4 linked regions of the Arabidopsis thaliana genome follow. The protein of the gene in region 2 interacts with the protein of the main gene of each other region in a pairwise test. Each region holds a gene or a part of one and is shown on either strand. Other genes may lie near its edges. The genes, in order: AT5G47390, TCP9, PLDBETA2 and CDF2.

Region 1 (4,536 bases), on a different chromosome or scaffold from region 2:
TGCGAAAGCGAATCGACGGTGTAGGAGTGTGGAAGCATCGCTAAATACGAAGGTGAAAACGAAACAAGGGTTTTTATCGAGAGATAGAGCAAAGGTTTACGCCGGAGAAGAAGGGTTTGAAATGCGAGGCGACTCAAATCGCGCCTTGTGAAGGGGAAAAGAAAAACCAAAGAGGGACAAAAGAGAAGAAAAAAAATCAACACGAGGAAGAAAAAGAAAGCGAACGTGCCACGTGGCATCTGTGTAAATCACCGCGATTAATTTTCCATGACAGTGGACTTTTTAACCAAAGAGTGGAGTGAATCGGTGAACGCGGGAACACTCTCGACACTCATCGCCCTAAATTTAACGCTCCTGATTATGACACGTTATTCACTCTTTTAAGGCCCATTTAGACTAATTGTTTAGCCCATTCGTTTTTTTACTTACGAAACGCTTGGGAACTTGTTTACTTTCTCTTACAACACTGGAGTCCGGTTAAATCCGGTTCGTCTTGGTTTAATTTCCGTTTTCAATCCAGTTATAGTTTTTGGTCAGAGGATAAACAAACTGTGATTTTATTTATTCAAAACTAATAAATTCTAATTTTTAGTACAGATTAAACGAAAATTAACGCATCCTAGAGTCAAAATAAAAGCATACAAATATAAAGAAATGTAAGCAAAAAATAATAATTTGTTTTTCTCCCTTTTTTTTTTCTTTTTTCTTTTCCCTAATGATCAAAGCTGAACTAAAACATCCTACCCAAGTTAAACAACCTAACAAAGAAAAACTTATTTAAGTTACTGTGACCAACAACTAACCTGTAAACCCCAAACCAGATCCCATTTTAGACCATCACTTCCTCAGGTCTTTTATAAAGCGTGTATCACGCTTTTGATGTCTGAACTATCAGAGCTAGGATTCGGGTGAAATGCTGATTGTCTTGAAGATGACCCGCCACCTAGCTTCAATGAAAGAGACTGATCGGATTCTCCATGTTTGTTGGACTCTGCAAGGCTGAGCTTAGACATACCAAGAAGCTCGTCAACATTGATAGGAGCTTTCGAGTGCACAGCAGTTGGTCTGAGAATTTCATGAGTTTCCTCTTTCTTGGGTGGTTCAGGAACATAACCAGCAGGCCATATTGGGAATGGAAACGGGTAATATGGTGAAAAGTAGGTCGGATATAGTATGGGGAATGAGCCAGGTAGTTGCGGCTGCGGTTGCAGTTGTGATTGCAGTTGTGTGGTTTCTTCTAGTCTGGAAGAAGAAGAAGCAGCAGCGGCAGTTGCGGTTGGTTCCCCGGTGGTAGAGTTTGTGGAGTCCATTGATTCACATTCTTCGATTTCCAAGATTGACGGTGCGTGAAGTGAGCTAGGAGCAAGTGTCTGATGAATAGAGTCAGCACCTTGCATTTCAGTTTCCACAGGAATATTATCTTCCTCTGGTTCTTGCAAATCCATGGGAATATCTCCAACCTACAAGGACAAATCACACAGCATAAGCAGAATAAAGAAAGAGAATTACATTTCAAGATCACATTCCCATGAGAAGACCAAAATGCTTAAGCAGGATTGGCTACAAAATGATATCCTCAAGCATATCAATTAGAACCCCAACAGACTTCAACTTTTCATATTGAAATGTAGAAGGCAAACCAATCCACCTAATAAGCTTCTGAATCCTTTAAATCAGTATCTCAACACATTTTGTAACCACTCCAATATAAATAAAAATGGTGTTTTTGAATGAAGAAGGAACAAACCTCATCAGGAACCATATCAAAGAGACTAGAACGTCTTTTGCGACGAGAGACATTGGATTGTCTGATGAAATACTTCTGAGCATGGCTAGCAACTTGTGTAGGTGTCCTAGTGGTCACATAGTTTCTTGAGATACCTCTCCAATCACCTTTACCCAGCTTCTGTAAACCTAATAAGAACATCCTGTGTTCTTCCTCTGTCCATGGAGTTCCTACAACAAAACCAATATCAAACACACATCAAAATCTTGTTACATAAACCAGATCACCACTTGTTACATAATGCAATCAACGACTTTGATGCAAAATAAACTCAATTACAAAAATTTGGAATTTGATAAAAAATTTAATCTCAGAAATCAAACGAAGATACCTTTCTTTCTCTCGCGGCTAGAGGAAGAGCCAGCAACGAAATCCTCAGAAGCGTAACCATCACCAGCGACATGGTCAGGGACATCACCCGGAGAACCCGGAGTGTTGGACCCGGTTCCATGCCCACCCGATCCAGAACCCGTGTAATGGCTAAGATTACCCATACTTGCACTTTTCCGGATCGAACCTTCGGTGAGCCGAACACCAAAGAGCTTCACGCCGCGATTGGGACAAGTCCGAGAGTTGTGGCCATTGTGATTGCAGTGAGAACATCGACGAGTCATACCCGACCCGATTTGCTTCTCTTAATCGGATCTGATCGAAGTCTGAAACGCTCGCGGATCGGATCTTAGTTGATCGCAGAAGAAGCACAGAATCTAATTGTGAGAAAGAGATAGAGAGACAAAGGAGCGGAAGAAAGACAATAATATCAGTTTATCTGGTCGGATTTATTACATAAATTCGATTTATCTGGCCGGATTTTTTTTTTTATTTATTTATTTTTTTTATTTTCAGTTTGTTTTTCTTTTGCTCTTAGTATGTTTATTTATATATATAAAAATCGGAAATTATTTGGTGTATCGTTGGTGGATTTTTTTCCTTTTCCATATTTCATATTTGACTTAATTAGTCAATCCAACGTGTTCTATTATTAGAAGATTTATTTTAGAAAAAATGTTGAATTACTTTGAACTAAGAAGTCCAACTAGCTATTACTATTAATTATTAATGGCCATTTTTGTATAAATTTTTTGGAAAAAGATGTATTACAGGCTAATCTCAATATCCAAAGTTTTAAATTTAGGATTAAAAAAAATAACAGCTTTCTCTGTGATTTCTTTTTAACATTATGACATATATCTTAAATAAGTTACTATATATTAATGCCACCACAAATAGTATAGCTGTAACTAATAACTCTTTCTATATAGACTAGTTAATAGGTTTAATGCATTTGTGATTATCCAATTGTCTTATGCTAAATCATTACAATTTCCTTATATTTTTCTATTTATATAAGGATGGATATCTATACAAAAACTGCAAAAAGAAAAATTAAGTATTTATGTACAAGTGTTAACCCTCCACCAGAAATTAACAATTGGCATGAATATTATTAGCCACAAGATTAATTACACTATTCAACATTTTAAAATATCTTAATAGCCCTTCACGCGTTCCATACAGAAAGCTTGACTAGATTTTAACAGTTATAAACACAAATAAGTAAAATATGACATCTGTTTAATAAGTTATCATAAGAAAAATGGTAAACAAATGCCAACATCCTACACATAGAGAAAATCTAATTTTTGGTCATATAGTAAGGCGACAAAACTATTGTTATTTATTTAATAATCTAAACTGAAAATAAAAGTAGACCCATGACTGAGTAAAATATGTTATCTTAAGAAAGATAAACATGATTGTGATTTCATTTCTTGCTAAGATTACAAATACCATAATATTTGTATTAGACACCCCCTAACTCCAAAAGTCATATCTTATAATACTAAGATATATTTTATTTTGTGGTTAATTGTATTATTATTATAGATTTATAGTTCCATAATCATTTGTATGGATTAGAAGAAGAATAAATTAAAAGGCAATGCAGTTTTTGTTTATGAACAGAAAAAAAAAAATGGACGAACATTTTGGATTTTAGATGATAGAAAGAGAGATAATATGAGTGGATGGGTTTAGTGATATAGATTAGGAGGTCCCACGTTTGAAAATGCCACGTGGACACGAGGAGAGCGGCTTATCCAGAAAGGAACCTTTGGTCAGATCTTCTTATATTATTGTGGGATTCCTTCACAAAGCTTTATCAGCCGTCCACGTGTATTTCTCCCGTCGGTGGCATATTCGCATATTATTTCAGATTTCTTGTCATTATTTCATCTTATTATATAACAACAACAACGTTACTCAAATCTTCTTTCACCTAAATTATAAGTTTCTAGCTATTTTTAGCCACATACATAGTGTTTATACCTTTCTCCAACTTTTTATACCAATTTGATTTCATCTTCATTATAATATCCTTTTGCATGCCGTGGAGGATCCCAGTGTTTGTATTTTTAAAAGTTGAGAGACTTTGACAAAAAAATTGAGAGAAACCCCGGGAAAACGTTTTGACTGTGATTGACCCAAGTAAACGTGGACCTTGGGCCAATTTAAATCTCGAGGCCCAAATGCTGTCTGCTTCCAAGAAATTATCGAACATTGAATAAATGATGAGTAATGAATTATTTTTCGGTGGAAACTGAAAGTACAGTGTCTCGTTGAATAAATATGAAAATTTAACGGACTTTTCAAAATTGGGAAAAAACAAGGAAATTTATATCGGAACATTAAATTCTCAATGTACTCGGACCGACATGACAACATTAACTACTGCACTGTCCTACTGTAGC
Region 2 (4,148 bases):
CCAAGTACACAAGGTGAGTGTTCTTATGGTTTCAATTATGGCATTTTCTGAAATGGGAAAAATTGAAACCGAAGTGGTTCATTTCCTCTTGGCTCTTATGTTAATATTAGATTTGGTATCCCTGGGTTTTAGGCTTAAAGCTTAAGCTATCGCGGGTTACTAATAAATCAAATATGCTTGTCTTGCAATTGCAGGCAGAAGCTGGAAAGCTCTCAAAAGAAGCTGGAACTAATTCCATTGATCGGATTCCTCACAGGTTTACTTTTTAAAGCTTTCATTTCATTCACGAGATCACTGATTGTCTTGTCTACTTGCCATCTACTGACCTTATTTTGGTTCTCTCATGGAAATTGCAGAGAAAATTGTGGAGCTTTTGGAGGGAGCTCAGTCACGGTACACTTACATATCGGGATCGTGAGGTTAAGCGTTTTACTTATGGTTTATATGCAACGGAAGAATATTGCCATTGTTGGAATGCTTTTTCAGATCATCAAAGGCTCCTACAGATTTCTTAGGGAATGGTTTCAGGCTTTTGTTAGAAATTGTGTTTATTGCAACAGGTAGAGAACATAACCATAGACAGATGTATCTGAAGAGATAAGCTTCTCTATGTCTAAAGAAATGGACCGATACGAATAAAACAAGCATCATTAAAGATTAAATGGTTTGTAAGAAATACTACACTTATTTATGTGAAATTGTGTGGTTAGTGAAAAGTAAAAACATCGGAATCCAAAACCTCAAATTTACCAATCAGCCCAAATTATTGATGCTGGCGTAATGAATGGTATGCTGATGGTAGGCAAAAGTTGGTGGCTGCGAAAATTACAACATTATCCCTCTGTGGTGGACCCGAATCTGTAATCGGAAAAGGTGGAACCCACTTGGTTTAACTTTTAAGCCTAAAAGGTTACTACCGGTTTGACCGGTTTATAATTTGGTGTTTAATTCTAATCCCGGATCCGTTTGTTTGTTAATCTCAAGGCCACGTTATCGCCAATATTTTGATTTTTGAGTGGGTAGGGAATGGTGGGGTCGAATAGTTGGGCCTAGCCCTCAACAATGTGTGGAACTGAAGAGAGTAGGGTCCAGCTCAGGCCCACATTCACATTTTCGTTTTGTAGCCTTTCTTTTCTGGTGCTTACGGTCCCTCTTTCTGGTCGGTCGTATGTACAAGTAGCATAGCTAGTGGTTCAAACCCGAAACAAGTACCAACGAATCAAAATAAGTTTGAATCGGTTACATCTAGTTACCGTCGAACTTACAATCATTTCGATTACTTTGATCTGATTTCTAGTTCGGTTTGTATGTTTAATATCCGGATTGTACAAGTACACAAGTACATAAGTATGCGTATATGTATGTGACCGGTTTAATCAAAGGACGGACGATAGGAGGATTTTGGAATCCTGGAAAGAGGATTATTCCATAGACACTAATTAGCTTTTTGGTGGCGCAGCCTTGTGACCTACATTAATGGGGTCCAACCCCAAGTATGGGCTTACAGCTTTTTCCATAAAATTAAAGTAAATCTTTTTTTGCCTAACCAATAAAAATTATTGAAAATCTTTCCAACCATAGAAAAGTTAAATTTGATCAGCGATGGAAATTTTTGTACAAAGCTAGGTATTTCATTTGGGAGTGTACTAGTAACTAGTAAGTACTAACCAGAATGAGTTTCTGATTTTGGATTTTGAAGCTTTTCTTAGGTTAAAAAACAAGTATATTACTAAACAATAAAAGAAAAACATTTTGTGAAAAGAGAAATAAAGTTTACTGGACCCCATTGTACAGATGGTCCCATAATAATACTGATAGAAGATAGAGCAATGGAAAGTGATTTGTTCACGTGGTACAATCGGAATGGTTCTTTAAAGCTCATCGAACACATCAGGACCGTTGATTTTTCCCGCATCAAAAAGCGTTGAATACTATTCTCACTTGTTTTCCTGCTCCTATATATATATCCTGACGAGTCACATTTAGTAATCTCCTTGGACGTGTAACGCCGTTAAAACGATTCTTTCCCATTGTATCCGCTTTTAACAACTCTCGTCGTCATCTCCACCGTCCGTTTTCTCTCAGCTATATTTTAATGGCGACAATTCAGAAGCTTGAAGAAGTTGCAGGCAAAGATCAAACTCTAAGAGCCGTTGATCTAACCATCATCAACGGCGTCAGAAACGTCGAAACTTCAAGACCTTTCCAAGTAAATCCCACAGTGAGTCTCGAGCCCAAGGCGGAGCCGGTGATGCCGTCGTTTTCAATGTCTTTAGCTCCACCGTCTTCGACAGGACCACCATTGAAGAGAGCTTCGACTAAAGACCGTCACACGAAGGTTGAAGGAAGAGGGAGAAGGATACGGATGCCTGCCACGTGTGCGGCTAGGATTTTTCAATTAACTCGAGAGTTAGGTCACAAATCCGACGGCGAAACGATTCGGTGGTTGTTGGAGAACGCTGAGCCGGCGATTATAGCCGCCACGGGTACGGGAACGGTTCCCGCCATCGCCATGTCGGTTAACGGAACCTTAAAAATCCCGACGACGACGAACGCTGATTCTGATATGGGTGAAAATCTGATGAAGAAGAAACGTAAACGACCTTCTAACAGTGAGTATATAGACATAAGCGACGCCGTTTCAGCTTCCTCCGGTTTAGCTCCAATTGCCACGACGACAACGATCCAACCTCCGCAAGCTCTGGCATCATCCACTGTGGCTCAGCAACTTCTGCCGCAAGGAATGTATCCGATGTGGGCTATTCCATCAAACGCAATGATTCCGACGGTCGGAGCTTTCTTCTTGATTCCACAAATCGCTGGTCCGTCGAATCAGCCTCAGTTATTAGCTTTTCCCGCCGCCGCTGCTTCGCCGTCGTCTTACGTCGCCGCTGTTCAACAGGCTTCCACGATGGCTAGACCACCTCCTTTACAAGTTGTTCCAAGCAGCGGCTTTGTATCCGTTTCAGACGTTAGCGGTTCGAATTTATCAAGAGCGACGTCGGTTATGGCTCCGAGCTCAAGCTCAGGCGTAACAACCGGTAGTTCATCGTCAATTGCAACAACAACGACGCACACGCTGAGAGACTTCTCCCTAGAGATATACGAGAAACAAGAGCTTCACCAGTTCATGAGCACCACAACAGCACGGTCATCGAACCACTGAAGAAAAGAAAGGAAACGGCGGCGTATTAGTGATCGGAAAAAAAGCACGTGTGCACATGAAGAAGTGCACGTGTTAAGAAGTGGGCCTCGATTTTAGGCAGAAGTGGGTCAACACGCACCAAAAAGAGAGTGGAGGGAGGAGGAGAGGGGCCACACGGCTCCCACCTTACGCATAGCTTCCGAGGCAGCCAGGTTGGGTGTGGTCCCCAAATGGTTAGAGCTACGTGGTCCGTATGAGTAGGACCAGCTTAAGCTTAAGCATAATTCGAAACGTTTCGTTTTTTTGGTGGGGGCTCACCACTTTGTCTTGACTTTTTTGGTCTTTGTAATTTTACAAAATAAGATTTATTGAAGCCCTCTCTAAGTCATGGTCCACTCAACAACAATTGTGATATTGATGTTTTGATTTTATTAAAATCTGTAACAAAATAAATATTTCTATCTAAAATGAAAATACTAATGTTGTTTTCCTAAAATTGTTGTAGCATTACTTTTCAAATGATTCCATTTTCTTACAAGTGTTACAAAAGCTTTTTGCGAAAAAAGTCTCGTCCGTGTTATTGGCGGGGCCTAGTAAGCTTGATTGTACCACTAATACGGCGTTGTTTCGTGGGGCCTGAAAGCTTCCCACTCAAGGGACGCCTAGTTGGGTCAGCACCACCAGTTTAACGCTAAGGAAATAAAGGAACAGCCTGGCGTGGGTCATACTTGTGTCTATCTAATCTTTACCGTTCAATTCCATCGTCTTGTCCTAACCGTTGATTCTATTTCGTTCGTTGTTTAATTAGTACTAGTAGTAGTAGATATTTTCTTCTTGTCTACGGTCTCAACGCCAGACAGGATTTACTATAAGATAACTTTGTTTATGTTTGATTTATAATTCAAGTGTGGTTGGTTAAAGTTAAACCATGGTTCTCCGTTTCACACCGTTGATTATATATTTTTTTAAGATATGTAGGAAGTAAAACTTTAAAAGGTTAAAC
Region 3 (7,023 bases), on a different chromosome or scaffold from region 2:
GATCGAATTCGGATCGGATATTTTCGGATTCGGATAATTTGGATAGAAAATTTATTATCCGTTCGGATTTTACTAATCTTTGGTTTGGTTTTTGTTCGGATAAGTGTCGGATTCGGACCGGTTTTTAAAGAGCTAAAAATTGTTCAACTTAAATAAAAATTGGTTTAATCTTTACTAAAATTTGGTTAAATTTTGCAAAAGTATGTATACTATTAACAAATGTAACTAAAAGATTTCCAATTTCTTTATTATTTAGGATATTTTGTTATTTATTATAAAATTACAACTAAATATAAATAATATTTTTGGATATATATATTTTTCAGTTTTCGGATATCCTCTCGGATTTCGGTTCGGATCGGATTCGGTTCGAGTAATTCGGATAGGAGAATTCATTATCCATTCGGATTTTGTAACTATTCGGTTCAAGTTCGGTTCCGGATCGGTTTTCGGATTTCGGATTTTATAGCCAGGCCAAAGCTTTTTCATGTACATGATTTCTTATTCTAAATAGAATTAGGATTAAGTAGCTTCTTTTTACTTGTTATTCAAACTTGAGGAGAAACATCAAACTTTGTTTATTTACAAAGTCTGATCAATTGTTGTTTGTTTACACATATAAGGTCTTCTTAATAAATGCGACTCTGCTTATGATTAGATAGTGAGATTCTCCTGTATGGCTAGAAAGGATCCAACAACGTTTCCTCCGACATCAGGGAACTCCTCACTTCCTGGAAGTGGTCGGACTTTGCCTTTCCGATCAACTTCCACCGGATATTTCATCAGATGTCCTCTCATCTCCGACACTTCCTCACTCCTAAACTGTTCCCAGTTCTCCTCCGCCACTGTTCTCACTTTCCTTACACACCCTAGACTCTCTGGCTCCACAAAGCAATCATCTAGCAGTGCCATGTGTTCTGCCCAAAGCGACATTCTATATCCGTAGATCTGCAGATTATGTACCAAGTATTATTGATACGACTAGGACTATGAAACCATGTGTGTACTATCTTTGTGTGCTATTACCTGACCCCGAGGACCTGACTGTCGTCGTGCCCATGTATGTTGAGGCTGGTAAGCTCCCATTGCAATCTCTGTATCTCTTGTCCCCTCCATTGATCTTTGGTTTATGTTTGCAGATCCAATTACCACATACTCATCATCAACAACCATCCCTTTTGAATGAACATATATCATAAATCTTCTGCTCTTTCGACATAATCCCTATAATACAGTTTCAATCAAAACTCATCAATCAATGACGATAGAAACCGCATTAGCAAGTCAAGCAGTTTGGTTTTGTTACCTGAGGAGTGTTCTCGTTGCTTGCACTTCCTGTACCCGATTCATTATTTCCGTTCACCATTTCTCGGTTTCCAAGACAGAAGAAATTCAAATAGTCTTGTGGGGAGTATTCATCTTCAAGCCCGGCCTCCACTAACGCATTGTAGATAGTTCCATACATCATTTGCATCGTCTTGTGCTGCAAAGACGATAACTATGACATTTAGTTTCACAATCTTCTAGTGTCTACTTAAATGATCATTGACCAATTTTTGAGGAAATATTAAGGGAAAGATCATGATATCAATATTGTCACATGGACTAAGACAGAGAAGGTTAACGGTTTGCAAAGACACAACTTCACTAGAATTACCTGCCAATATAGAATTCTTTGTGTAGCGGCGCCGGTAGGAACTCCTTCTGGCCACATTGGAATGACAATATATGCAGCAAACCGTTCCTTTGCTCTGATCTTATCAGCAATCTTCAACGCAATTTCCATAGGAATCAGGTTGTTGGCACCTACATGACCACAACATAGAATAAACAACCTTAAAGAAATGACCAAGGTTGTCAAGACCATTGTCTTAAGTTGAGAAAAATACTGAGAATAGTGCTCAACATTTTAATACCAAAGAAACTGAAATGTCAAAACCACAAGCAAAAGAGTTACCACAGACGCAGCTAAATGCACTGGAAAAGTGATAAAAACAATGTCTCTGTTCTGTGTATTAATTCATGTATATATACACACATTTTGAGAAAATTATCGTAATCTTGAGTTTTTCCTAATCATGAGCTCACTTGAAAAAACAAAGACAAACAAACCTATGTCCTTGTGAGCATTCCAGTCGTAGGAGGATCCAATGAAATACTGGTTCTCGATGTAGATGAAGTGTTGAGCTGCACGAATGGCCTTTACATATGCGGTGTGTATGCTCATGTCAATGAGCACATTCTTACCGCACACCAAATTCTGTCCAAACAAAATCCCTCTATCCATCAATTTCCAAGCCAACCAAATCATAATGACAGCACAAAGTTTCTTTGATTTTTTCACCTCACCTTGCTTGTAGCATATTTTGGATCCTTTGGAAAACCTTTCACAGAGTTTGAATCGATTGACCGGAAAATCTGATTTACAAAACCAGACAATTATTAGCTTCAGAAATTTGGGACAATATTTGTGGACCAAAGTATAAAATTTGCATGGTTCAACTGAGAGATGGGCATCTTTCCATGGACTTTGTGAATTAATCAGAACCAAACTTTAATACAATGGTGCGTACCTGAACATGCCAAGCCTCGGGGTCGTTTGCACTAACAGTAGGAGCATCCAAAACTCTTAATATATCTGGAATCCTGTCGATCCTTAGTAGTGCATCATCATATGACGTCTTCAATTTATTGATTCTGTGAGGCTTAGCAGCCTTCAGCCACCTCTCCTCAAAATTTGTCAGCACATCATACGCAGCTGGGCCATCAATCTTACTGTGCAAGTCATGCCAAGGTTCTCTTGGACAACCGGACACGTTACCCTTAATTACATTTTAGTAATCCAAGTCAAGGCTTTCCCATTCAGAACAAAAGAAACTAGCAACTAAGAATTACTTAGGTAATCACCAAGAAGAACTTGAGAAGACAGACAAAGATTGAAGTACCACTTAATAAAGTTAAAAGCAGTATGTTTTTCCACTGCCAAAGGTTATTCCTTGCTATAAATTCCTTAAGTATTCGACACCAAAGTTACACTAATATATATTTAGAAAGGCAAGCAGACATACCGTGAAAGTGGGGTTGTGATAGTCACCATTATGATCTGTTTGCAGTGTCCTAAACAACGGATGTTGAGGAGTATCATATCGGCCATCACATAGATCAAGCCCGCCCACAAAAGCTACGATTTTCCTTCTGTTACCCCCAGCATCGGCATCTACTATTAAGTTTTTTTGGTGGTGTGTATAGATGGTTCCAACTTCCTGATGGACTAAAATATAAATAGAAGCCGGATACCACAACCAAAAAAAAGACCAAAAATTCATGTTCTACCCTCTGTTTGACCCAACTATGTCGCTTTCCAGCATTTCGAGGGCATAGCAAGACTTGCACTGAGGAGTCCTTGAAAAAACGGCGTGTCTCCTCGTCATGGGTTCCCATAACCCCATCCTGTTCATGTGAACAAATTGTGTCAATACCTAAAACATACATGAATAACCATATCTAAACTATGTCATCTAAGATACATATATCTCTATCTAGTTGCAGGTTTCTGCGTGAAGCAAACATTTCTCATACTTACTAGATTCAAACTGAAGATTAAACCCACCAAAAAATTTCTGGTCTACAAGGAAAAGTAGGCTAACAAATAAACGGAAGGAACCTCAATACGACTTGAAGAAGCCAAAGCTGTTGACTTCCGAGACTCTAAAAGATGTTCTGGTTCCTACCCTATATAGCCTAGCTAACATATGCACTTCACAACCAATAAAGAAGTAGGGACTTGAGGTTTCCAGTAACTTACGGTCATGTATCCCAAGATGTTTTGTGAAGTTGGGTCGTCCCAAACCAAAAGCAGGACTCTCACACCTTCTTGGGACTTTGATCTTAGGAGCTCACCTAGTCTACATTCTGAAGAAGGATCTTCTTTATCCCGAACAAGCCTGACATTATGCCACACTGACCAGCCTGTAATATAAATCAAACGTCTAGCTTGACAAATGGCATGAAACATATCATGCCAACACTTTCCATGTTCGTAACACATTCCATTTCCGAGTTTTATTCCCGGGAGCATCCCTTCAGGTACATGTGCATCTTGGTACAATGTGACACTTCCACCTTCCCTAAGAGGAAAATATGTTCCAGGCACCCCCTGGTAATAGGGACCTGCACCAACTCCGCTGTGATAAACACTGAGTTTATTCATTGAAGTATACTGAATCGACAATGATAGAGTTGCCCCTGGTTTACAAGGCTTTCCATTGCTGTCTCGAATGGAGTAAGTCCCTTCAATTCTTGCACCTGAGTAAATTTGTTCAACAGGGATTGTAACAATTCCTATAAGCTGTGAACCGACGGCATCACTGTCCTTAACAACAAAATGGACCTCGGCAGCGTGATGAGCTACAGGGACATAAAAATGCTGCTGCCAGACAGGATTTTCGCTGTTGCTAATGACATATGTTCTTCCTATGACAGCACCAGCGACTGATATGGACACGTAAGGATCACTAGTGATCTTCTTGCTCAACTGGCCTTCGATCATATTGGTCATGCCACCAAACACAACACCCAATGTCTTATGAAACAAATCTAAGTTTGGTAGATTATTAGCACAAGAAACCCAAATATCCAAATTACCATGCAACAAGAGGACCTTCAAGGAGGCTTTACCAAAGGGCACAATGTGCATACCGGGACTATGCGGCGATGCGGTAGATGTAAAACCATGACCAGACGAATCTAGCCTGCCTGAGTATGATAAATCTGAATGACTTGAAAACGAAGCATAGTAACTCACTGGAGGGTAAGGAGGAGGAGGTTGGTGTTGGTAATCAAAAGAAGCATAGTAACTCATTGGAGGGTGGTGGTGGTCTAATGGACCCGAATGAGACATTGATCCATGGTGATGAGGCGGTGCTGGGTAAGGAGGATTAGGCCGCGGAGGCCTGTAAGGGTAATAAGGGTAATTCCAACCATAATTCTCCATCGTAACTAACTAACACCACAACTGACTAATTCATAAAGAAATTCAAACGTCTTCAACGTTTTCTCCGATCAACATTTCTTCATCAGAAGCGAAATTTCAAAAAAGCAACAATGGCGGTTTGCGAATTGATCAGAAGAGAGAGATATATAAGTACATTCGGATCACAGCGGAGCTTAGTTCCAAGGAATTAGGTGAGACTTACCTTCGCTGAAAATGGAGGAACCGTTGTAAAATTTTGATCATCGCTTCTTCGCTTGGGGGAAGAAAGAGTCTCTCGATTTTGATTTTATTGGTTTTGGTTTTGGTCAACTTAACTTACTATTGCCGGTCACATATTTCCACTTGTCAACCTTTTTTTTTTTTTTTTTTAATATATATATTATTCTCTAAATATAAATAAAATATATAACATTATGACTTTTAGTTAAAAATGCATATTAGGTAAAATCTCTATAAATTAATAATTTTAAGATTGATAAAATTTATTAATTTGAAGAGATATTAATTTATAAAGAAATTTTACAAATTATGTAATTTCTTATAATATTCAATCAAAAAAGGTATTTTTTTTCTTTTCTTATAATCAATAATATTTTTGAAACCAATTACAATTATTAAACAATTATCAAGTTTAAAAACCAAAACTAAATTTTTCGATTTAGTAAAAATATTAGAATTAAATTCTACAAAGAATTAATACAAATTGAATACTATATTCATATTTTAGTATATATCTATATATATATATATATAAATTAGTGAATTTATAATATTGATGGGACCAAATATTTACATATGATTTTCACAAAAAGTTATTATTTTATTAATTTATCGATTTGTATCAATTCTTACACTGGTTTCAACTCGGGATTGAATGAATTTATTAATTTATAAAGTTTATTAATTTATTGAATATTAATTTATAGATGTTTTACCTAAGACCTGACGGTTTTATGGGCAACATACAAAAAAACAAAAAATCCAAGATTATTTTGAAAGGTTTTAAAATTTAGGGCCAATTATCGTTAAAATCAATAAAATTGGGGCCATTTTGTAAATAATTTTTGTTAAAGAATTTGAAAAAAAAAAAATGGGCCACACTAAATGTTTCATATTGCTTGGCTACCCCTGCATAAGAGTTAAGACAAGTACGCGGACTAACAAAGTTCATTTTCTTGTTCAAGTATGTACTTTACTGTTGTTTATTTTTCTGCAGCTTCACAATATCATAGTGCAATTCTATAGCTTTCTTGGTTATACATAACAATATTGATATTAACCATTCAACTTCTTCTACGTGAGGAAGATATCTGTTGAAAATCACACTTTCACTCTCAAACTACCTCTTCCAACATTCTTTTGAGGTCAGCACTCTCACTCTCTTGTCACTCTGTTTTGCTTTTGTTTTCTTTAGAGAGAAACAAGAACACGTTTAAGAGCATGATGTCTTGATAATAAAACTTGGGTGATTCTCTTACAAGATACAAACACACATACTTATTATAGTTTTACTTGAAACACTTACACACACAAGCATGCTCTTAAACGCATAATTAACTCTGATTTCTTGCAAGCTACTCTACTACATATTGGGACTCTAACAACAAGCATGCTCATAAACACAATTTATGTTTCTTTTTATTTCCTCACCTACTTTGCAGTTTCAAGATGCAGAATCTCTTAATTTTTTTATTATAGACATAATAACTTCTGTGAAAGATTGTAACTAAATGTATATGTTTTATTTTGGTTGCATTTGGTACTTGAGAAAGAGGAACTAGTGTCACCAGAATAACTCAAACTGCACGTAATTATCATAAACAATAAATATACAATTTACAAACATCATTTCAGAATCCATTTTGTTTAATGAGGTTGAACCTATCACCATATAAGCTATTTAGAACTCTTGTTGAATATGTTTGTGAATCCATTCTATTGTGTGTTTCTTTGTTTTGTAATAACTCTGGTCATGAGTTTTGAGTAGAGAGACATTAAAAAAAGAAGCACATTTACAAAATCCTAAAAGT
Region 4 (5,184 bases), on a different chromosome or scaffold from region 2:
GTTTTATTTGTTTTCTAAACCAAATCGACATATTTTTGGTCATGGTTTGAATTGTTGTATTGTGTGGTTCAGTTCATTCTTACTAGTCTTGACAAATTTTGATACAAATTTCATATGAATACTTACTTTACTTTATGTAAAATATTCAGACGAAATTTCGTATAAATTTTGCAAGAGTAAGGCAGCGAGACAAACAAGTAGACTAAGAAAAACATAAAAAGCAAAGGAAAATTTCTTATAGCTAATTTCCACAATTAAGTAATCGTTTTCTCACCATAATCCGTGACTTGTTTGACCAAACGTAAGAAATCAATTAAACGATGACTAATTCAATAGTACTCTTATTGTTCTAGTCATGAAAAAGACTAACACGAATTTAATGTCACAATTGCAACTAATTTCCTTACTAAATTTCCTGGAAATTGCAACTGAACAAACAAGGTAGTGGCTTTCTTTTTCTTTTGGCGTTTTTCACAAACTTCTTCTATATTAATTTACTACTTATCTCTTAATATAGTATCAAAATGTTCTTTCATTGGTTGTTTTGGTCAATAGACGATAAATCTTCTGATATAGCTGACTTTGTCAATCCATTTAGTGTGGTTTCTTTAATATTTTTAATCCTAGATTATACAAATATCGAACCGTAGTTGGCAGCTTGCAATATCTTCTCTTCATGCATCTACCACATTGCTTTTGCTTATGTATGTTGTCAATAGACTCTCCATTCATGCATCAACCATGACCATTTGCTTGCAGTGAAGAAGCTGTGTTTGCGTTATTTTCGCAGTATTGGTGATCGCGGCTTGCTTTTTCGAGACTTGGTTCATGTCTTTGTTGGGTGATTTTTGGACTGGTTATAAGAATGACTACACATCTACTAAAGCAAACCTGATTTACCATGGTAAACACTTGACATCGCGGTCATCTAAGAAGTTGAAGACAGTGGTTCGCTCCTCCGCGGATGCCGAAAACAAGCTTGTTGCTGCCACTACTACTGAAGTCCAATAAGTTAGATCACTCTCAAGATTCTGAGAATCATACATCATGTGGATAACTATAAACGTTCCTTTAAACTTGTTTGAATTTGTCTGTGAACATACAATGTCATGATAGGGAAAATAAGTTATTCATGCAAGATACATTTATTTAACTACAGTTTTGAGGTTTTTTCATTTATGATACAACAAACTTTCACTCTGCAATCCAAAAACTACTTATCCCTCACTATGTCAACCATTATATATATATACACAAACATGTGTGTGTATATATAGCTATATGTACAAAAGGACTCACCTGCTTTCTTGGAACACAAGACTGAACCCAAAAACAATCAAATCAGCTGCTTAGATTCTTCTTCTTTCTATGAGCTCTCATGGAAGTTTGCTGACCTAGAAAGAGCAGCAGGATTCGCTTGCAACTCCGGTCTTCTTCCCGGAAGTCTTCCTTCAGAAAGACTGCTTTTTTCTTTGGTTGATGATCTGAAAGCTCCGAAAGTATCCGCATTTTCGTCTTTTTTGATCCCTAATGTTTCCCAGATGGAACTTTTAGCAGCTTCCTCTGGATCATCAATCCTCAGCGTCTTGGGAACCCACAAGCATCTCTCGGGTTTGCTTTTCTCCCTACCAAGTGACTCGGTTTCATCAAAAGCGGTTCCTGGTTCAGCAGCGTTCTCGTCACGTGAATGTTTACCTAGTGTAGGAGAATTTGGATTGGAACCAGATGGTGAATTGGGTTGTGGCATCCATGTGAAGCTGTTCCATGCCCCCGGTGAAACCCCCGGGCAGCTCCAGTAAGCCGGTGGAGGGTAAAACGGTAAAATCGTCCACGAAACTCCGTTCCAAGCGTAAGGCCAAGTTGGTGGTGGTCCTGGAAAGCATGGAACTTTTGGTAACGGGCTGACTGTTCCAGCTTCTTCGTTTGTCTGGTTTAACGGAACCGTAATCTTCAAGCCTTCATTGGGTTCTTGCAATACAGTTTGTGTCTTCAACAATGACTTCTCAACAAGATTCAATCCAGAAGCCATAGATTCACAAAGCACAGAATCAGAGCCAAAAGTGAGAAGATTTGCACCATTAGGATGTTGAAGATCAGTTCTCGCCACCTTCTGCATAGCTTCCGCAGATGTTATACTTACATGACGGTTATAATGAGAAGCTGGACTCTTATTCTTACGTCTCCCAGCACCAACCGGAACATTCCTCATCGTTCCACCAGCTGTCCAATATCTCTGACATTTCTTGCAGAAATGGCGAGGTTGGTTAACATTATAGTTGTTGTAGTAACAGAACTTGGTTTCCATGCTGTTACATCGCGGACACGGTAGAATCTTATCAGGTTTCTTTAACTTCCCCTCTTGAGAGCAAGCAGTACCACCTGACTCTTCATTCGTCTTTGCAGCTTTTGTTGTTTCCGTTTTTTCAGTTATACCCGATGTAGTAGTAGTAACATCATTAGATTCATTCCTCAATGACTCTTCCTGACACTCACTATCTTTTTCTTCCTGAAGAATAACATAAGAACCAGAGTCAGATCGTTGTTATGTATCCTAATCAAACAAACAACAAACAGAAGCTAGAAGCTACAGGGATCAAAGACTTGATTCCAATCACAGAGAAGCTAAAACCCTGAAAAGTTCTTAAGCAAATCAATATCAAAACCTATAACCATCAATCAAAACCAAATGGAACTAATTAAGATCTCAAATCACTTTATAACAAAAGGAAAAAAAAAAACTCATTTGAGAATCCAGATTTACAATTTTCGAATCCCCAAAAGCTCTGAAAACCTAGTTCTTACATAAACAAACCAAAAATCATAACTTTATCAATAAAACTAAGATTTGACCAATCTAACATAAACCCATCAATCATTTCCATTTAACAAATCAAAATCAATTCACAAGTTCCAAAAAAAACTAACCTTTTTATCAGTCTCGCTCTCTCCTCCACCATCACCAACATCATCACCTTCTTCTCGTCCTAAACCGGAATCACCCATCTCTTCATCATCATCATCGCCGGTACACGAATCTGATAACCGAACAGGAATCTGAGTTTCGGTTAAAAATCCGGTATAGCTAGAAGAAGAATCAACAACACCAAGCTCAGGTAAAGGAATCGTCTTTCCAAAGAGCTTAATCGCCGGATCAGCCATGGTAATGATTCCTTTTCACTTCTTTCTTTCTTTCTTCTCCAGCGAGCAAAAAGCGGAAACTTTTTGAGAAGACAGAGGAAAAAAGTTCCAATTTTTATTTGTTTAAAAGAGAGAGAGAAACGACTGTCTTGTTATCGGTGGTTGTCTGAGTTTTGATTTCTAGATTTGTTAATTGGGAATGCTTTTTTGTCTTTGCGAGAGAGAAAGAAAAAAGATTTACAGATTTTGCTTTTTGGGTTTGTGATCTTTCGAATTGTACAACCTTTTGATTCGCCCAGAGTGCCACGTCATCACACGTGAGGATTCTTAGCCACAAGTTTATTTTTGTTTTTGTGGACTTTTTTTTTTCTCTTTTTCGTCTCTTTTTGGCTTTCTTTTTATTTTCCTTTTCAATCTGGTCAGTGGTCAGCACTTTTTTTTACTTTTACTTTTCTTTTCATTTTTAACTTTTTTATTTTAAAAGTCTGAATTTTTTTAAATTAATGTAAAAATGGTTGATTAAAGGCCATTTAACTTCTAATTTACATGTTTTCTAATTCTAACTATGTCAATAAATTTTTTGTTACCCACACATTTATTAAAAAATTACTGTTTATAAATGAAATTTCAGAAGAAAAAACAAACTTTAGAGTAACAAACAAAAAACATATTTAAAACCTTGAAACACTTTTTAATTCCTAGCTTTCTATAATAGCCATATCCATGGAAAACAATATCATGATTAGATTTGGAGAGAAAGAAAAAAAAAACATATTTATGAAAGAAACAAATTACATGATATAAACATTAATTTTCTCATTTTTAAAGAACTAAGAAGATCCAACAAAAAATTAAAATACTAAAAAAATATAGTATTTTATCCCCAAAAAAACCAATCTTTGTCTTCAAACAAATCCATTTTACAGATTGATACTCCTTGTGTTCTTTTTTCTTTGATTTTTTAGGAAAAACACAAATATTAAGAAAACATATTAAATGTTGCTTTTAAATGTATTATTCTTTGTAATTTATAATTTTCAATAACTCTAAACCAATGATATTCAATAATTCTTATTGAAGTTTACAATTTATCAATTATAACTAAATAAATATTGCATTGAAAACCAAAAAATCAATCTTTTTGAAACAATTTTTTTCTAGAAAATCAAAAAAAAAAAACAAAAGGAGTATGTGTTTTTTTACGCTGATAATAATAGTCATTTAGTTACAGTTTTAGCTTGGTACTTGTAGGAAAAATAAATTAACATTGAAATCACTTTCTTTTTTTTAAATGAAGCTACAAGTATTTACTATATAGTGGATCTTCAGTTTCTTTCCTCTTTTTTGCCTATATTCTTGTCATAAAATCTTCAACATATCAGAGATACGTGGCTGTAATAAGTCGATGTTAGAAGTTGTGGTTACTAATGAACGCCAAGTCGATTTGGAAAAAGTGCAATATTGTGGATAAGAAGTAATTGAACGCCAAGTCTAACATTGAAAAAGTGCAATTATGTGGATAAGTATATAGTACCTTTATTTCAGACCACCCCAAATCACAAATATATACTATATAATAAAGTTTTTTCATTACATTTATTATATTATCCCCACTTGGAGGCACGACTGATAAAGATTCTTAGGAAACATATTTTATCATTTTTCGACTGTTTCCCCGAACTAAAGAAACGTTATTTGAGTTTTGTTTTATTAAAATTAGCATTTTTCGTATAAAAACAAGTCTCGTTGATATATCACATGACTTGAACATTCTCGAATTAGAACTTGAATGAACTATATTGTAAAAAAAAAAAAAAAAAAGAACTTGAATGAACTATATTGTAAAAAAAAAAAAAAAAAGAACTTGAATGAACTATATTGTAAAAAAAAAAAAAAAAGAACTTGAATGAACTATATTGTAAAAGCTGGCTAAGTTCATTAAGTGACTCTTGGTGAAAACGGAGAATTTTTGCTTAATGAAAACATGGTGATCAAATTTCGAATATTACAATACAAGATTGATTCGAATAAATTTTCATATCGTTA

Evidence for each region.
Region 1: the proteins of TCP9 (region 2) and AT5G47390 interact in binary tests that used the Arabidopsis thaliana proteins (3 or more experiments, as listed by UniProt).
Region 3: the proteins of TCP9 (region 2) and PLDBETA2 interact in binary tests that used the Arabidopsis thaliana proteins (3 or more experiments, as listed by UniProt).
Region 4: the proteins of TCP9 (region 2) and CDF2 interact in binary tests that used the Arabidopsis thaliana proteins (3 or more experiments, as listed by UniProt).

The regions. Positions count from the first base shown.
Region 1 is NC_003076.8:19,224,865-19,229,400, reverse strand, and holds AT5G47390 (myb-like transcription factor family protein), read right to left. Parts: upstream 2,633-4,536; 5' UTR 2,401-2,632; coding exon 2,118-2,400; intron 1,957-2,117; coding exon 1,748-1,956; intron 1,461-1,747; coding exon 855-1,460; 3' UTR 506-854; downstream 1-505. Other genes in the region: AT5G47400 (sphingomyelin phosphodiesterase), read right to left, coding at 1-239. UniProt on the Arabidopsis thaliana protein: Transcriptional repressor. Direct regulator of the transcription of peroxidase (Prxs) and reactive oxygen species (ROS)-related genes via the recognition of 5'-ATCACA-3' motif.
Region 2 is NC_003071.7:18,819,735-18,823,882, reverse strand, and holds TCP9 (TCP family transcription factor), read left to right. Parts: upstream 1-1,993; 5' UTR 1,994-2,095; coding exon 2,096-3,166; 3' UTR 3,167-3,641; downstream 3,642-4,148. Other genes in the region: SSE1 (shrunken seed protein (SSE1)), read left to right, coding at 1-13, 195-256, 357-418.
Region 3 is NC_003075.7:105,726-112,748, forward strand, and holds PLDBETA2 (phospholipase D beta 2), read right to left. Parts: upstream 5,281-7,023; 5' UTR 4,994-5,280; coding exon 3,806-4,993; intron 3,451-3,805; coding exon 3,334-3,450; intron 3,264-3,333; coding exon 3,069-3,263; intron 2,823-3,068; coding exon 2,574-2,822; intron 2,419-2,573; coding exon 2,350-2,418; intron 2,261-2,349; coding exon 2,113-2,260; intron 1,807-2,112; coding exon 1,658-1,806; intron 1,484-1,657; coding exon 1,307-1,483; intron 1,225-1,306; coding exon 1,027-1,224; intron 949-1,026; coding exon 655-948; 3' UTR 525-654; downstream 1-524. UniProt on the Arabidopsis thaliana protein: Hydrolyzes glycerol-phospholipids at the terminal phosphodiesteric bond to generate phosphatidic acids (PA).
Region 4 is NC_003076.8:15,876,895-15,882,078, reverse strand, and holds CDF2 (cycling DOF factor 2), read right to left. Parts: upstream 3,354-5,184; 5' UTR 3,160-3,353; coding exon 2,926-3,159; intron 2,507-2,925; coding exon 1,367-2,506; 3' UTR 1,300-1,366; exon of another isoform or gene 998-1,299; 3' UTR 542-997; downstream 1-541. UniProt on the Arabidopsis thaliana protein: Transcription factor that binds specifically to a 5'-AA[AG]G-3' consensus core sequence. Regulates a photoperiodic flowering response. Transcriptional repressor of 'CONSTANS' expression.